2 linked regions of the Lytechinus pictus genome follow. The protein of the gene in region 2 interacts with the protein of the main gene of each other region in a biochemical or structural test. Links are inferred from orthologs where the notes say so. Each region holds a gene or a part of one and is shown on either strand. Other genes may lie near its edges. The genes, in order: eukaryotic translation initiation factor 4E-binding protein 1-like and leucine-rich repeat serine/threonine-protein kinase 1-like.

Evidence for each region.
Region 1: of the proteins of leucine-rich repeat serine/threonine-protein kinase 1-like (region 2) and eukaryotic translation initiation factor 4E-binding protein 1-like, one has a biochemical effect on the other in vitro, tested with the Drosophila melanogaster proteins (2 studies listed by BioGRID). The link is inferred for Lytechinus pictus from reciprocal best matches to the Drosophila melanogaster genes Lrrk and Thor.

What each region holds. Positions count from the first base shown.
Region 1 is NC_087262.1:3,356,350-3,363,838, forward strand, and holds the start of eukaryotic translation initiation factor 4E-binding protein 1-like, read right to left. Parts: upstream 3,107-7,489; 5' UTR 2,968-3,106; coding exon 2,826-2,967; intron 1,687-2,825; coding exon 1,525-1,686; intron 463-1,524; coding exon 428-462; 3' UTR 1-427. Other genes in the region: leucine-rich repeat protein SHOC-2-like, read left to right, coding at 3,671-3,737, 5,993-6,136, 7,408-7,489. UniProt on the Drosophila melanogaster protein: Repressor of translation initiation that regulates eIF4E1 activity by preventing its assembly into the eIF4F complex. Hypophosphorylated form competes with eIF4G1 and strongly binds to eIF4E1, leading to repress translation.
Region 2 is NC_087248.1:18,463,323-18,471,488, forward strand, and holds the start of leucine-rich repeat serine/threonine-protein kinase 1-like, read left to right. Parts: upstream 1-5,014; 5' UTR 5,015-5,953; coding exon 5,954-6,068; intron 6,069-8,166.

The sequences.
Region 1 (7,489 bases), on a different chromosome or scaffold from region 2:
AACTGATTAGTGTTATATTTGTGTATCATAATTAATATTCATATCATAATTAATATTCATGCTACACTTCTAAGCATCTTGCCCCTTGTTTGTTTGAATAACAACATCTTTATTCAGGAGATTTTAATAGAACCTTAGTTTTTTTTTCTCAATCTAGCTTATCTTTGGAGAATATGTTTGGAAAAAATACCCATATTTATGATAAGGTTTTGATTTTACATGAAAGGACATGATTGATACCATAATATTGAGAATAAATTCAGATTTGTCCCCATCAGGAACTTAAGTAAACAAAACAAACAGAACTGCGATGGTGAAATAAACAATTCAGGATCATTTATCTTCTTTACCCGCAGTATACATCTTTTCTTATTTTGTCTTAACTAGCCTTCTTAGACAGTTGTCATCTGTATGTTGGTCCTCCGTCTCAGATGTCCATTTGAAACTGATCATCAGCAGTGTCTAGTTAAGAGAATAAGACAGAGAGAGAGAGGGAGAGAGAGAGAGAAATGAAACATGTGTGAATCATAACAAGTGCATGCCTATATTTCATTCCGGCTAAACATGACAATTTTGTTACAATTCAAAAAATGAAATCTTCAAAAAAAAGTTGTCACATTGCATAATAAATTTTCATCAAGTGCTATTTATTCTTGAAACATCTGTGTTCAAACTACTAATATAGACTTAATCCAAAGGCCTGTGAATTCATGAAGTTCTGTAAGTTTTTGTTTGACTAGGTGTCTGGTTGACAATCACAAATCCAGGATTTTTTTTCTTACAACATAAAGAATATAAAAAAAATTATAAGGTAGCGACTTAAGACAGTGGAGACACCAACTTTTTGGTTAAAAAAGGGAAGTGGGCACATACCCCCCTCCCATGTATACAACTTCCCTGCTGTTAATAAATTATTAATTAAACCCAAGACTACCCAAGACCATTAGAAGCCATGGTAGTTGATAGTGCTGGTCGATATTTGATCTAAATGTGAATAGATTATTGCCAGAAAAATTTCGCTGATAACACAATATATCGCCGAGTCTGAAAATTCATTATATGTCCATTAAGAGTAGTGATTCCGCAAGAGCAGGGAAGGGGGAAATGAAAGAAGACTTCCATTGGTGCTTGTCCTTGAAAAGAGGGCATTTGGGCACTGGTCAACTAAACTGAGTTGGTTTAAAGCAATACAGAGCAGCATGCGGTCAATCACTAGTGATTATCTTTTCATAATAATAGTTTGGGCATATCGTGTTACTGTGATATATCAACATATTCATAAAATCATTATCAAATAATATTTTTCAATATCACATAATTTCGATGATATAGAATTTAGACATATTACCCAACACTAGCGGTTGATGCCGTTTTCATTGGCCTTAGCGGCCCTCTCATTAGCCTCAGAGATTTATTGTGCCTTTTTAGAATTTTTTTTTTCCATTTGAGCTGTAATGCAGAAACATACCTTCAGATGTTATGAAAGTGGCCTTGCCTGAAAATATTGAAATGTATAGTGTGTACCTGTTTTACTCTTTGGAGCCTTGCTTTCACCATTAGGTTTGTCACTGGTCACTTCTGGACAGGTCACTCCTGGAATTGAAGGCAAGTTCTTAGGAGGAGTCTGGCTCAGTGGAGAATTCCTCATATTCAACAAAAAGTGACGATCGTAGATGATGCGTGTTCCTAGGGAAAAAAAGAAGGGTGGAGATGCACAAGACTAAAGTAACCAGACTCTCAAGTTTCAGGTGGGCATTTTCATATAACAAGCAAATTTACGAACGACTGGTAACCCTTTCTTAGGAACTCAACACCAATGAAAATTTGATGTCTACCATTTACCACAAGAAAGGATCACCAGTTGTTTGTAACTTCGAAACAGCTTTATGAAAAACTCACCAGGACTGTAATTGTAATACATGTTGTATGGCAAACCATATTGATTTCTCGGTCAATATGAAATATCTCAGCTTCAAGATTTGTATTACAAGAGGATAAAGGAAGCTTGTGTTGTGTTGCTCAGCAGAGTGAAAAAAAAAGGGAATTCCCCATCTCAGCATCCTCATTTTCCCCTCTGTATGCAAGCATTAGTACACAAGCAGGCTTAATCCAATGTCATGAATCTATCACTGCACAGATGTGATACATGCGTGATGCCTCGTTCTAACTTCAGTTAGTATAGAGGGTTCTAGGTAGGTTGTTCTCATAATCACTTATGACACTGGATTCTACATGTTCTAAAGTTACTCCCACAAGCAATTGCGATTCCTGCTCATGCGCATTGGTATAGTACCTGTTTGGACATTTACTCATCAAACTAAAGCGATTAGCCCGAACATGATTAATGCTGATCTATTATTTATCATTTTTTTTCAGGATAAACCTAGCCTTGAGGACTCCTTGATATCTTACTAATATTTTTGACATTGTATTTTCATCACAGAGCTGAGCCTTGAATTTGAAACGGTGGGTATATTTTATTTTTAATTAGATTTAAATAGAAATAGAATCGATGTGAGTGCAATAACTTATTACAATAATTACATAGCCATAGCCTATAGGCTATAGGGCCTAATCTGACTCCATAGTCCATTTTTGATTTTTGATTTTTTTTTTTTTTTAGCTATTATTAATTCAATAATTGCAGACATTGTGTAAAATTCCTGGATCAAATCGGCCCTAAATAAGTAAATGCGGACGTTAGCTAACTATGGCTTAGTCCCGGGCTAAAGGCTTAGACTTAGTACTGGCCTGGGATCGGGAGGGTCGAAGACGAAGCCAGGCCTGTAGGCTGTACTCCTGTGTGTGTACGGTACGGTACGCACCTCCCGGGGTCGTTGAAAACAATGTGCCTCCTGGCGTTGTGCTGTAATCTTGTGGAAGCTGCGATGGGTCGTCGACGGCTACTCTTTTCGCTGGAATATCCCGACCAGCACTGAGTTGACGACTTGCTGCAGGGGCTGACATTTTGCTTGAATTTTAGAAGATTGCGGGGCAGCTAAAGTTGCAAAGGAATGGACGGTTCTTCGGGTTCTTTTGAAGGTAAATATTGTGATGACGGATTTAGGGGAAATCCGCATCGGACGATACAGCAAGGAGGTACGGTAACAGTTTTGTCAATTTTGTGAGTGATACAGAATTGCGATTTTCTCATATGTACATATTTGAAATATTTTGAAAAAAATAAAAATAAAATTGAATGCAAATAATTTTTAAAAGTAAAAAAACTTAATAAAATTGATATTTTTAAATTAATATTTGGAATATGTTATATTCTTACTAGATTGGCAAGTGCATTTGGGTAGGTTGAAGTTATCAACTAAAAATTGTCTTGTGGAAATTAACAATGTATTTTTTCAACAATTTAGTTTATGTGTTTAAAAAATCAGGGTTTTGAGAGGAAATGTAATACAAATTCTGTATTTATGTAATTAGAATAAATATCTGCTAATTTCAAAGGATTTTTATGGAGATAAATGGGAATTTACGCTTTGGATTTGTGCCAATGGGTCGACGACATTTGTCGATAGCATGTCAAGATGATGTAAACAAAACCACGTGATATCAGCAAGCACGCACACAACGCTATGACCTTTCAAGGCGATAGTTGAAAGTTCAGACTATTTTAGATGAATTATCAGGACGGACTGAAACTGCAATCTTCACCAAAATGGCAGCAGAAGCAGTGACAAGAGTCGTATTAAGATGTGAAAAGGCGCAAGAAGATAGAAACTTAGGTGATATTTTCGTTCTATTGAAATTGAATATTCGGGTTAACGTTGTAGGGGAAAATACATGAAAATGAAACGGCTAGTCTCCTTCAATTCAGCGAACTGTTGACTATATATCGGTTCGCCTCGGCCTCCCGAAGGCGAGGCCGTGTTCATCAGGCCAGGGCGGCGGGGGCGCTGGCCTAGCCTGGACTCTGTCCGGACGTTCCCTCTCTTAAGTGCCGAGATGGGCGTGGCAGCTAGCTAGACACGTCCATTTATTGTTTTATTGATGCCCCTATTTTTCCTCATTTACCAGTACAGTTAGGCCTACCTGAAGATTCAAGAACCAAAACATCAGATGGATTAATAATCAAAATAAAAGAGGATCTTGATTTATATTCATGATTAAGTTCTTATCTTACTTATAATTGTAAAGACATGAGGATTGAGGGCCTATAAGTTTATTAATATGTCTTGCACAGTAGTTTGTAATTTTTAATTGCAGTATTTTGTACATGTAAATGTAGTGAAATAAATAAATAAGAGCTATAATATATGCACTCTCTCAATCTTAAAAAAACAAAACAAGGAACATTGTAGGTGTTGGCATATAATGGTAGGCAGCGGCGTAACAGGGGTCGGTGGCCAGGGGGGGCAAGAGCCAAAAATTTCCCGGTCATACATGGAACAGGCAATGGCTTCATGAGGCAAAAATTTTGAGGGGGCGATATGGCGTATCGGGCAAATATATATATAAAAGCGAAGCAAGCGAGCAAAAAATGTTGACATTTTTATTGCAAAAATCCAATTTTGTGATAGATTTTGACATAATGTTAAAAAGATGATATTATATTTCACCCTCCTCTTCTTTTTTATCTCTTTTTTGTACGCCACGGTGAACAGGATTTTTGTTATGATTGTGAGCATCAGGGCGAAGCTCTATATGAGTATATGCTCGAGGGGGGCCGAGTATGGCGCTTCTGGCAAGAAGTAGCTTAATATAGGTCCCGAGCGAGCGAAGCGAGCGAGATAAAGAAATCACCTTTTCATGAGAATCTAACATGAAGATAGATTTTAACGTGATATTCAAAAAAATATAATACACTTTCCTTTCTTTCCTCATTTTTTTTTGTTTGGTTGTAGAACTTTTTGGGGCCATGGTCCAAACTCATCCATATAACAGTGCTTTATGGGTGGGGTCCAGGGCAGAGCCCCGTAACCTCTTGATATCAAAGCTATTTTAAACCTTACAGATGGCCACTTATTTTAATCAAATTGCGTGTATATTTATATAGCTTTAACACAACACATAAATTCAATACAGTTGTGTATCGTAATCATCCAAATATTGTGAGGGGCACACCATAGCAAATGTGGGAAAATTTGTAAAAAGTCGCCAGCGAGCGAAGCGAGCCAGAAAAAAAATGGCCTGTTAAAATGAAATTCTAATTATGTGATAGATTTTTACATCATTATAGCAAATATCATGTCATATATTTTTTTTCATTCATCCCATTTCGCTGCCTCCTTTATTTTTTTATATTTCCCCTTGGCTGTGGAACTCCCCCCCCCCCCCGGTACGCCAGTGCTTCAACATAAAGCTTAATGCAGGAAGGGTCCATATAGGGGCCCGTTATAGAACCCATTAAAGGTTACAGATGAAGAGCCCCCACTGCACGGGGTCTTGACTCTTGGACAGAGCCTTTGGAGATTTAGCAAGTTTATGATAAACTTTCATACGACATTATGCTATACCATCAATTTTCTTCCCGCTCGTTATCTCAATCCTCGGCAGCCCGGTAGTGTACGTTATCTTGTCCCTATTCTTTATTTTCCAATTAAGATTTTGGCTAATTCCATTCTGCCTTTATTTCCCGCTTTTGTTTGCCTTTTTGTCATCTTTAATTTATTTCCCTGTCTTACTAATCATGCTAATGTATTTTTATATCGGGGCGAATTGTTCTTTCTCACTTTTTCTTTTTTCCTTCCTTTTCCCGTTATCTTTCCGTTTTCCCTTTTTTATGTTTTTTCTTAGTTTTCTTTTCCCTTTTCCTTTCCCTTTCCCCTTTTTTCTTTCCTTTCCCTTTCCCTTCCCTCCCCTTTTTTTTTTTTTTCTCCCCGTTTTTTTGTATTTTCCCGGTGAGCTCCGCCAGGGGGGGCAGCTTGCCCCCCCGCCTGTTACGCCACTGATGGTAGGGCCTATTTATTTGCATCATTGACCATTCAAGTATCGTAATGTTTTTTTTCTTTCTTTCTTTTCTTTTCTTTTTACTCAACAGATTTATCAAGCTGTCTACTGGAGTCGGTTCCGCAAGCAGTTTACCATCTAATGAGGAAAACACAATTATCATCCATTGACCTCTCACATAATGCACTCACTATAATGTCAAAGAAACTCCCAATGAAATTTCCAAGTGTTACAGGTAAGAATTTTTTTAAAGCATATTTCCCTGATATATTTTCATTATTATTATTTTTTTTTCTTGTCGTTATCATCATTATCATGAATAATCACTCTTCTTCATTATTACTGATAATTTTATCATTATTATCATTATTGTTATAAAAATTGTAATTCATATTATTTTATTATTATCATTATAAATATTATCATCATCATTATTATGTATTATCATTATTATTATAATTGTTATTATTATCATTCATCATCATTATTATAATTCATTAATGTCATTGTTATTTAAAATCATTATATTGAACAGGGGGCCATGCACCAAAGATTTAAGGATAAGTGATATATGACAATGCAATTTGTAACAACACTAGCAGCTTTTATTTTGATATTTCACTTAATTTTCCCTTATTTAGTGCTGTATTGGTGTTTTGTTAATTGTATAGTAGATATTTATAGGTTTTTTGTGGTAAATTTGCAAAGAAGCGTAGGACTTCCACTAATAATTCATAAATATACAATTTTAGTTTGCATTGATGTGAAAGGTATTGATTGAAGAGATTGAAAGCATGCCAGGCAGTTCAGAAGTACAGAAATCCAAGTGCTCATAAACATTGTAACAGAGCGATTCTGTGATGCAAATGCTTGCCTAGCCTGAAATATATCCTTAATTAAAAAAAGGAAAATTAGTTTGGAACTGCCCATTCACTTTGATAATGACAATGTTATGATCATCAAATGGTCGGTGCATAGGTGATGGTGATGAGGTCTTGTAAATAGTTTATTGGTCCATGGTTTAAACCATCCTGGGTCATGCTGAAAAAAAGAACAATGAATCAGCCATATGTAAAAAAAACAAAAACATAACATGTCACATCATGTCCAGAGAGAACAATTCCATACACATGTCAGGCGTGGATCCAGAGTTGAAATTTTAAGTGGTGCTACAGGATCCATAATTTTTAAAAAAGGGTGGCACATTTTACCCAGTTGAAATTTGACAATAAAAAAAAAAGGTTTTCCCCTAGATTTAACTTAAGGTCAATAATTTGTCCGCCCAAAAATTAACAAGCAAAAAAAAAAGGTTTTCCCCTATATAAGGTCAATTCATCTCTCTTTTTTTTCTTAAAAAAAAAATCCTATGGGGTGCTAGCGCCCCTTCAGCCCCCCCCCCCCCTGGATCCGCGCCTGTATGTAAGGCATTGGTATGCATTGAATTGTGAATTTTTTAGGTGTTAGTGCATGCACTATCCTATTTCATTGTATTTTCTCTTCATGAAGCTTTTAATATTTCAGATAACAAAGTTGAGAAGATTCCAGATGAGATCAAGGAGATGACTATGTTAGAAACATTGAATGCATC
Region 2 (8,166 bases):
ATGGCCTATGGGAAAGTTGTCCTTGCCTCTTGTCATAATTTACTTACCCAGTTGCCAATTTGAAATCTACATAGTCATAGAGATCTCAATTTTAAAACAGCCATAACTTTCTTATTGCTTGTCCGATTTCTTTCAAACTTTCACCATTCTGTTCTATTTATTTTTCTCCTTTCAAACACAACATATTATGACCAAGGCTGGATTCCCCTTTAAGAGCGACTTTGAGAATGACTGGTGATCCTTTCATGTGGTAAATGGTGTGCACCAAAATGTTCATCGGCGATGGTTAAGCGCGTAAGAAAGGTTCACCAGTCGTTCTTAAAGTCGCTCTTAACTTACGAACAGCTTCATGAAACAGCCCCCTGGTACTAGAAAGAGTTTAATTAGACCATGTGGTTTGAGACAATATGTAAACTTGACAAAGCGGCTGTAGACCAATCAGCACTTGTCCCTGGAAAGCACCCAAATGGTATAAAATTTGCCATCAAATACCGACGGTGATAATATTTGCTCTAAATGGTGACACAACATTTGCTCCTGTGACATTTGATCCAGGCTTAATTTCGTCTAAGATATAGGGTTAGGCCGGGTTAGTGTTGCAATAGGGTTTTACATGTATGTTTAGGTTTAGGATTAGGTTTAGGGTAGGGTGTAGCATTATTAAAAGCCAGGGTTGAAGTTGGTCATTCGATTACACATAGTGTGTGGAATCTTTAGTAGGTCCATGATGGAATTTAGAGTCTGAGCAATTGTTTCAGGAGGAAATGTCATGGAACCCTCTAAATCCCTGTTCATCTTAGCCAAACCTTTGTTTGATAGTCAACTAATCCTTCTTGAGTCTGATGTGTTCACAGTATGTTAACATAGTAGAATATCTGAAGTGTGACTTACACTTACACTGTGGAAAACTCTAAAGTGTAAGAATTCAGTGCGTTAACTAACAGTATGGATTATGTGGCTTTGATTCACACCAGTTAGAACACTGTGGACAATTCTACAATTGGAGTGTTCATAGTGTATTCACCCAGTAGAGTATATGGATGTGAATTGTGATTCACATTGTGGAATAGATAATTTCAGACTGTGGACACCTAAACAGTGTGGGATCACTGTATTTTCACAAAGTGGACTAAACATAAAGATGTGATTCGCACTATGAACAGAATTTTAGACTAAACTACTCTACAGGTTTAGCTAGGGCCACAGTGAAGATGCTATTCACACTGTGGACAACTGTACAGTGTGTGTTTCCACACTTCACAGTGCACGGATGCACATAGTAGACTATGGAAAGATTTGATTCACACTGTTGAAATGCTCAAATTTAACCATGAGAGGAGAATTTGACACTTGACGACTCAACAGTGTGAAGGGTCACAGTGTGTTCACACTGTTAACTATTTCACACTGTTTAACTGCTCAAATTCAAAAGTGTAATGGGAATATCAGACTGTGGAAAATAAAAGTGTGAATGTTCACAGTGTGTTCATATAGTGGACATATGCAAATGTGATCCATGCTGTTTCAGATTATTGGCTACTCACTTGAAAACGTGATTTATGCTGTTGAAGATTATTTTACACTGGGCAACTCACAGTGTGAGGGATCACAGTGGGTTTGCACAGTATTGGACTGTGTGGAAAATTTATTCACATGGTCAAAATGGTGATTTATCAGTGTGTGCAACTCTTCAGTGTGAGAGGTTGCAGTGTGTTCACTCAGTGAACTGTGTGAAGATGTGATTTGCACTGTCGAAATCCTGAAATTCAACATTTTCACACTGTGGATAACTCTAACTGTGTTCACTTAGGAGAAAACCACAAATCACTGATAATAAAGTACATGGCCTATGGGAAAGTTGTCCTTGCCTCTTGTCATAAATTACTTACCCAGTTGCCAATTTGAAATCTACATAGTCTTAGAGATCTCAATTTTAAAACAGCCATAACTTTCTTATTGCTTGTCCGATTTCTTTCAAACTTTCACCATTCTGTTCTATTTATTTTTCTCCTTTCAAACACAACATATTATGACCAAGGCTGGATTCCCCTTTAAGAGCGACTTTGAGAATGACTGGTGATCCTTTCATGTGGTAAATGGTGTGCACCAAAATGTTCATCGGCGATGGTTAAGCGCGTAAGAAAGGTTCACCAGTCGTTCTTAAAGTCGCTCTTAACTTACGAACAGCTTCATGAAACGGCCCCCTGGTACTAGAAAGAGTTTAATTAGACCACGTGGTTTGAGACAATATGTAAACTTGACAAAGCGGCTGTAGACCAATCAGCACTTGTCCCTGGAAAGCACCCAAATGGTATAGTGGACTATGTGAAAATGGGATTCAAGAGCTCTGTTAGAAAGCTCAAATTTAAGAGTTTAAAGATGAATTCACGTTGTTTCCCACACACTAAACTTCTACTGCTACATGAATGTGAACACTGTGTGACACACTGTAGAACTGTGTTCTTTCCAATAGGGAAGCTATCTGACACCACCACACTATTCAAGCAGTACAGAATATCAGCATCACACAATGCTCAAGACTCGTCGGGTCGAGGTTAAAAGCTATAATTATCTTGTCTTTTGGCAGTCACATGACAGCTGAACATGAAGCTGTGAATGCTAATCCCAGTGTCTTTAGAGCATTCATTTCTTCTGTAAGCTTGAGTAATTATGGGCGTTCCCCTTGGCTGCAAGATAGTGTTACTCTTTAATATGCAGCCACGAAAGAATGGAAATTAGCTCATACTCTTGATGGATCTAGGAACATTTTATTCCATTATTATTATTTTGATTTTTGTGTTAAAGCCTGTCATGTTAGAGAAATCTTGACACATTTAGTTTGTGGTTTTTTTCGCTCCACGAAATGTTCATAATCTCAGTGGAACTTCCAAGTAGTCCTGAAAAAAGTGGGATCAAAGAAAGTCTTATATCTTGTCCTTTATTTATCTGTACAGTGTACAACTTAAAGTTTTGATAATTATTCTGTCATCTAAAGCAATTTCTAATGTTAAGATCATACTGCTATTTGGCTATTTACAGAGAATCTGTCCTGGCGACTTTTTTGAGGGGGGGGGGGGGTCACATATAAACCGGATCCAGGTTCTTTAATATGAGTTGCTTTAGGTCAAGCAGGTGCTGTTTAAATTATCTTTGGCTTAATTACAGATTTTAAGCTGATGAAATGGTCTTGTGTGATTTTCACCAAATTGACGGTTGTCCTGCTCTTTGTGTGCTCAGGGGGATGTAGATGTCTGACTTCAGATCACATGATTTTAAAATCACATGATCATTACGGTAATTAAAGCATATGGAAGTATCTCCATGGTTAAAGGGATACCCTGTTGTGGGATAGATTGAAAAAAAAAATTGTGGGCTTTTAAATTGTCTTCCTGTAAAAAAACCCCTGAAAAAAAAGAAAAAGATATAACTGACAGATCGGCAAAAATGTCATCAAATAATTAGAGAGTTATGATTTGTTTAGGTTTGATTGAGTTTGTGATGTCATATGCGAGCAACTGCCTAATATATGGCATGTGATATGAATTCCATAAATTTACTTTTTTTATGGTACATGTTAATCATCATTGTAAATATAGTTTTTCGTATAAAACTGACTACGAAATGATTTGTGTGTCTGATGATATTGCATGCAAATAATACATGTGTGTTATCAATTTTCAATTTTTGAGAATTAGTATTATATTATAGAATTAACATATACATGCGTGCATATGATCTCACACACTCAAAAGTTTTAAATTCTATTTGTTTACGGATCTTCGCTAAACCTTCACTTACATGTTTATTTTGTTGTTTTTCTGCCTTCATCGAAACAAACTTTATGAGAGCTGAGAAGTGACAGCATTTCTAAAAAGGATGGTAGACACTCACTCCTTGGCCCCTTTTCACGCTTCTCCACCTTTTTCCACCTATTCTACCCTTTGAGTTTTTTTTAGAGCGTAGTAATCCATATGATGTCATAGTAATTTTTGCCATGTAGGTGGTATACAAAAGTCATGAACATTGCTTGGCTACTTACAAGATTACAATGTACTTCAGCCTTCCCAACAGGCATTGCTTTGTCCAGATACAGAAATTTGGAGCAAGACCCATGCTATGCCCTAGTTTTAACAAGTTGTCATAATTTCTTATTGACCCTCCTTCCCTCTTTCACTTCCTTTAATCATAACACTGTGTGCCCCCCCCTGTCTTCCTGCCTTGACATACATACTGTACATCCCAGGCAGGTCTAACACTCACCCCCCCCCCCCCTCTCTCCACCCCGCACTCCAAATTAGGAAGCCTGTAGTCATACATTAACACTCATTGGTTAATAATCTAATGACTACTTAATTCTCATGATCATGAATTGTCTCGTGTCGCCTGTCTGAATTAGAAGTTGAGATATTTTGGGTAACACACACGCACACCAGGCATTATCGCCCTGGCCTGCTCTCTCTCTCTCTCTCCCACGGAGTCCTGTTTTAACGAACTCTTCAGCTACATCATCTACATGCTAACGTGGGCATGATATTGATCACTCATATTTTTCTAATACTTTCACCTACTTGTAACACTTTGTGTTTGGAAGAGTAAACCTTAATTTTTTTAGAGCTGCACATTTATTTTTGGAACCCACATGACAAGAGCGGGTCACTGGGCCATATTATATATGGCAGAACCAGGATTCAACAGTTTTTCCCGCGAAACCCGAGGATAAGAATCTGTCTGATTTGTGTGGCTCTTCTCCATGCCATGTGCTACCTAGACTTCATATCATCTCAACAAGCACTTCCATATCACATGATCAAAATGTAATCATGCAATGTCGATACCTGTAATGTCTTCGAGTTTCTCTCCAAAACTTAACTCTTAATGATTTTCCAGACAGCCACTCCCAGGAATTCATTAGTTTTGATGGTGTTTATGGACCCAAGTATTGATGTTGAATGTTTGTTTCTGTTTGACATTAAAGCCGTGTAATTATTCTCTAGTTTCCGTAATCAATTCGCTCCAGCACCATGCAATGGTTGCATCAGGGTTAGTTCGACGGATGCCCCCAAAGCATCAGGAAAGTGTTTGTTGCCTTCCCAAACTATGATATAGCAAGCCATTTTATATTCATTGTCACTGAAGTGAAAGGATATCACAGGTATCTTCCTGTTGCTTGTTTTTGTCTCTTATCGCAACATTGGACACCTGATAACAAGGAAGCGTGTTCAATAATCTATGTTGGAGGCTTAGCCATCGTAATCAGTCGTCATTTATAGAATTGTCTTCCTAGATCATGGTGATTGTGCGTAATATTTTTCTGATGTCTCTGAAGAGAAATGTCCATCTGCAGATCTAGTTCTAAAGCTAATGTCAGTTTGCCATCTACTGAGCATAGGATACACTGGGATATCTCAGTCGGATTCTGATTCTGGTGTCTTGGAATTGTTCTTTTGGAATTCCTGAACAGACTACTGGTGAGGTCAAATTATCCTGCTGTGCAGGACCAAAATACAGGGATGAACGAAAGCAGTTTGGCCTGAACATGTGCAAGAGTGAACATCTTGTGATCCACTGATCAGTGATGTGTTGGTGAATAGTCAATGAATGCCTTTTTGCACTGATGTCCTCACTATTAACATATGTTGTGAAAATTAACCTGTTCGCAATGATTGCAACGTGCTTTGTCCAAGTGTTGATTTTCAGGATGTGATCATGTTCAAACTTCAAAAGGAAAGAAAGGCCGATGCTTAATAATATCGTTGACTCTACTTTATCTTATTACAAGGTATTGTCAGGCTCACCGCCATATTTGTGCAAACTGGGTAAACTGTAACTGAATTGGCTGAGAGGTTTCTTAAGGGATATTCTTTGACCTGAGCCGGAGTTCAGGTTGACTGTTCAGTAATCCATAAGCTTTTCCTGCATTGGCATTTAGAGAGGAAAGTTGCCCTGTCTGTCCATGATGTCGTCATCGTTGACTCTGAGATGTAAGAGGAATTTCAGGTCGTTTGGCAAAAAGTGGAGCTCAAGGTCATGGAACTATGGTGAAGGGGAAGGTGGGAGAAGAAGGAAGAGTGAGTATTATACTTCATTTGTGGGTTAGTTAAATCGGTTTGCTCTTACCACAAACAAATGCTCCTCTGCGAATCAATCTGAAGATTTAGGTGAAGGTCAGATTTGTGTTAAGAATTTTGTTTAAGAATCATACCTGTGAGGATTAGGGTTAAGGTACAGTTTCAAGCTCGGGTTTATTTGCTTAATTTTCAGTTGGCGCATTAGTCACAGGAGCAAAGGTCATGGAACCTACTATCTACTTGTTTGGACCTTGTTATTTACTTTTGTTCTTTGCTATTTACTTGTATTGCAATAATAATAATAATAATAATAGTGATATCTTATTGAGCGCGCACACCGTCCAGAGACGCTCATGGCGCTAGCGCAGCAACAGTTCCTTTAGATACAAATATTTTTTACACGTACATTACAAACAGCTACTTGATTTACTGTTGATGTTGTAAATATTGGTATTGAAACGAAAAAAAGATTAATTAATTCATTCATTCATTCATTGAAAGATGAAAAAACTTGTTTGGACCAACTACCTCTTTGTTATCATTGTTTGGAACTACACAACCACCCCTGCAACCAACTCCTACAGCTGCTGGCAATCATATTCTTATTAAATATTTTATTGTTATTTTTGTTTACTCATGATATAATTCTGTTCTACTTCTACTTGTTAGTTGTATTTTCTTTTCTTGCTTTCTCTTGTCCAATCCTCCTCATCCATGTTCTCCCCCTCGTTCAACATCTTCCCTCCCCTTTTGATATTCTTGTCTTCTTCTTCCTCCTCCTTCTCTTTCTCCTTTGTCTCCTTCTTCTCCTCCACCTCCTCCTTCTTCTTCTTCTTCTCCTCCTCTTTCTTCTCCTCTTTCTTCTTTCTCCTCCTCCTTTTTCTTCTTCTCCTCCTTTTTCTTCTTCTTTTCCTCTTCCTCCTAATCTTCACCTCCCCTCTTTTTCTTCCCCATCTTCTAGTCCTCTTTGTACTTCTTTTATAAATGTTTGATGTGCACTATCTGCACTCCCTTCAATGGCAAATTCCTCTATTTTTGCACTGCACTACTGTTCAGCTTTAATTTGGTGAGGTTTAATAAGGGAAGGCTCGATTCTGTAGTACGAAGGAAATCATAAAAAAGGAGGAAATCATATGACGAGCTTGTTAAGGATGTACGTAATATTTTGATACTTTTTCAGGAATATTAATAGGTCACTTGGAGTGCCAGCATTATCTGTGTCATGAGCAGTAATCATACCTCCATATATTCAGATTCAAGATTAATTCATTACATTCAATAAAATGATACAAATTTACAAGAATTTACATTTACATACAATACAAGTTATGAAAACACAAAAAGGGAATTGATTTCCCATACAAGGAAAAAATAATCCAATATGGAATTGGGTCTCTGCAAAAGTTAGAATAAGACTTGAACTTGTCAAGGCTGTGCCCCAAACTGGAATTGAATATTTGTACAATTGACAATTGTTGAGGTTTTTAATCATAAAGCAATACAAAATAAAGGTGGTGATTTTTTACCTGATTGCTAAGAAAGCATAAATGCTTGTAAGCAAGCAACCAGAGGACCAACGGCTTAAGGTCCTCTCCGAAGGACCTGGTACTGAGGATTAATGCCTTACCAAAGGGCACTAGCGCACCAAGTGGGAATCGAACCCGGGTCACCAGAATACGAATCCCCCGCTCTACCGACTGAGCTATCGCGCCAAAGGAATTTTACAACTTTTACAAAATTTTATAAACATAAAATTAAGTTAAGAGGGGGTGAAAGGTTAAATATTATTGTATGAATAATTACATGAATAGGGATTGCATGTAGGTTAGTTTTTTTTTATAAGTTTTTATAGTTTCCTTTTATAACAATTGAAATTACTAGTTTGACGTATATATTGAGGAAGTGCATTCCATACAAAAGGTGTATTATGTTTGACAGTAAAATGAAAGTTTTCTTTCATTTTAATATACATGTACATGCATGAGAGTTATATTTATGACAGATATTGTTATTAATTATGGATCTCAATATGGAATGATATTAACAATTATTGATGTGTCAACATATCTGAAGAGGATTTATCCTATTAGGAATTTAT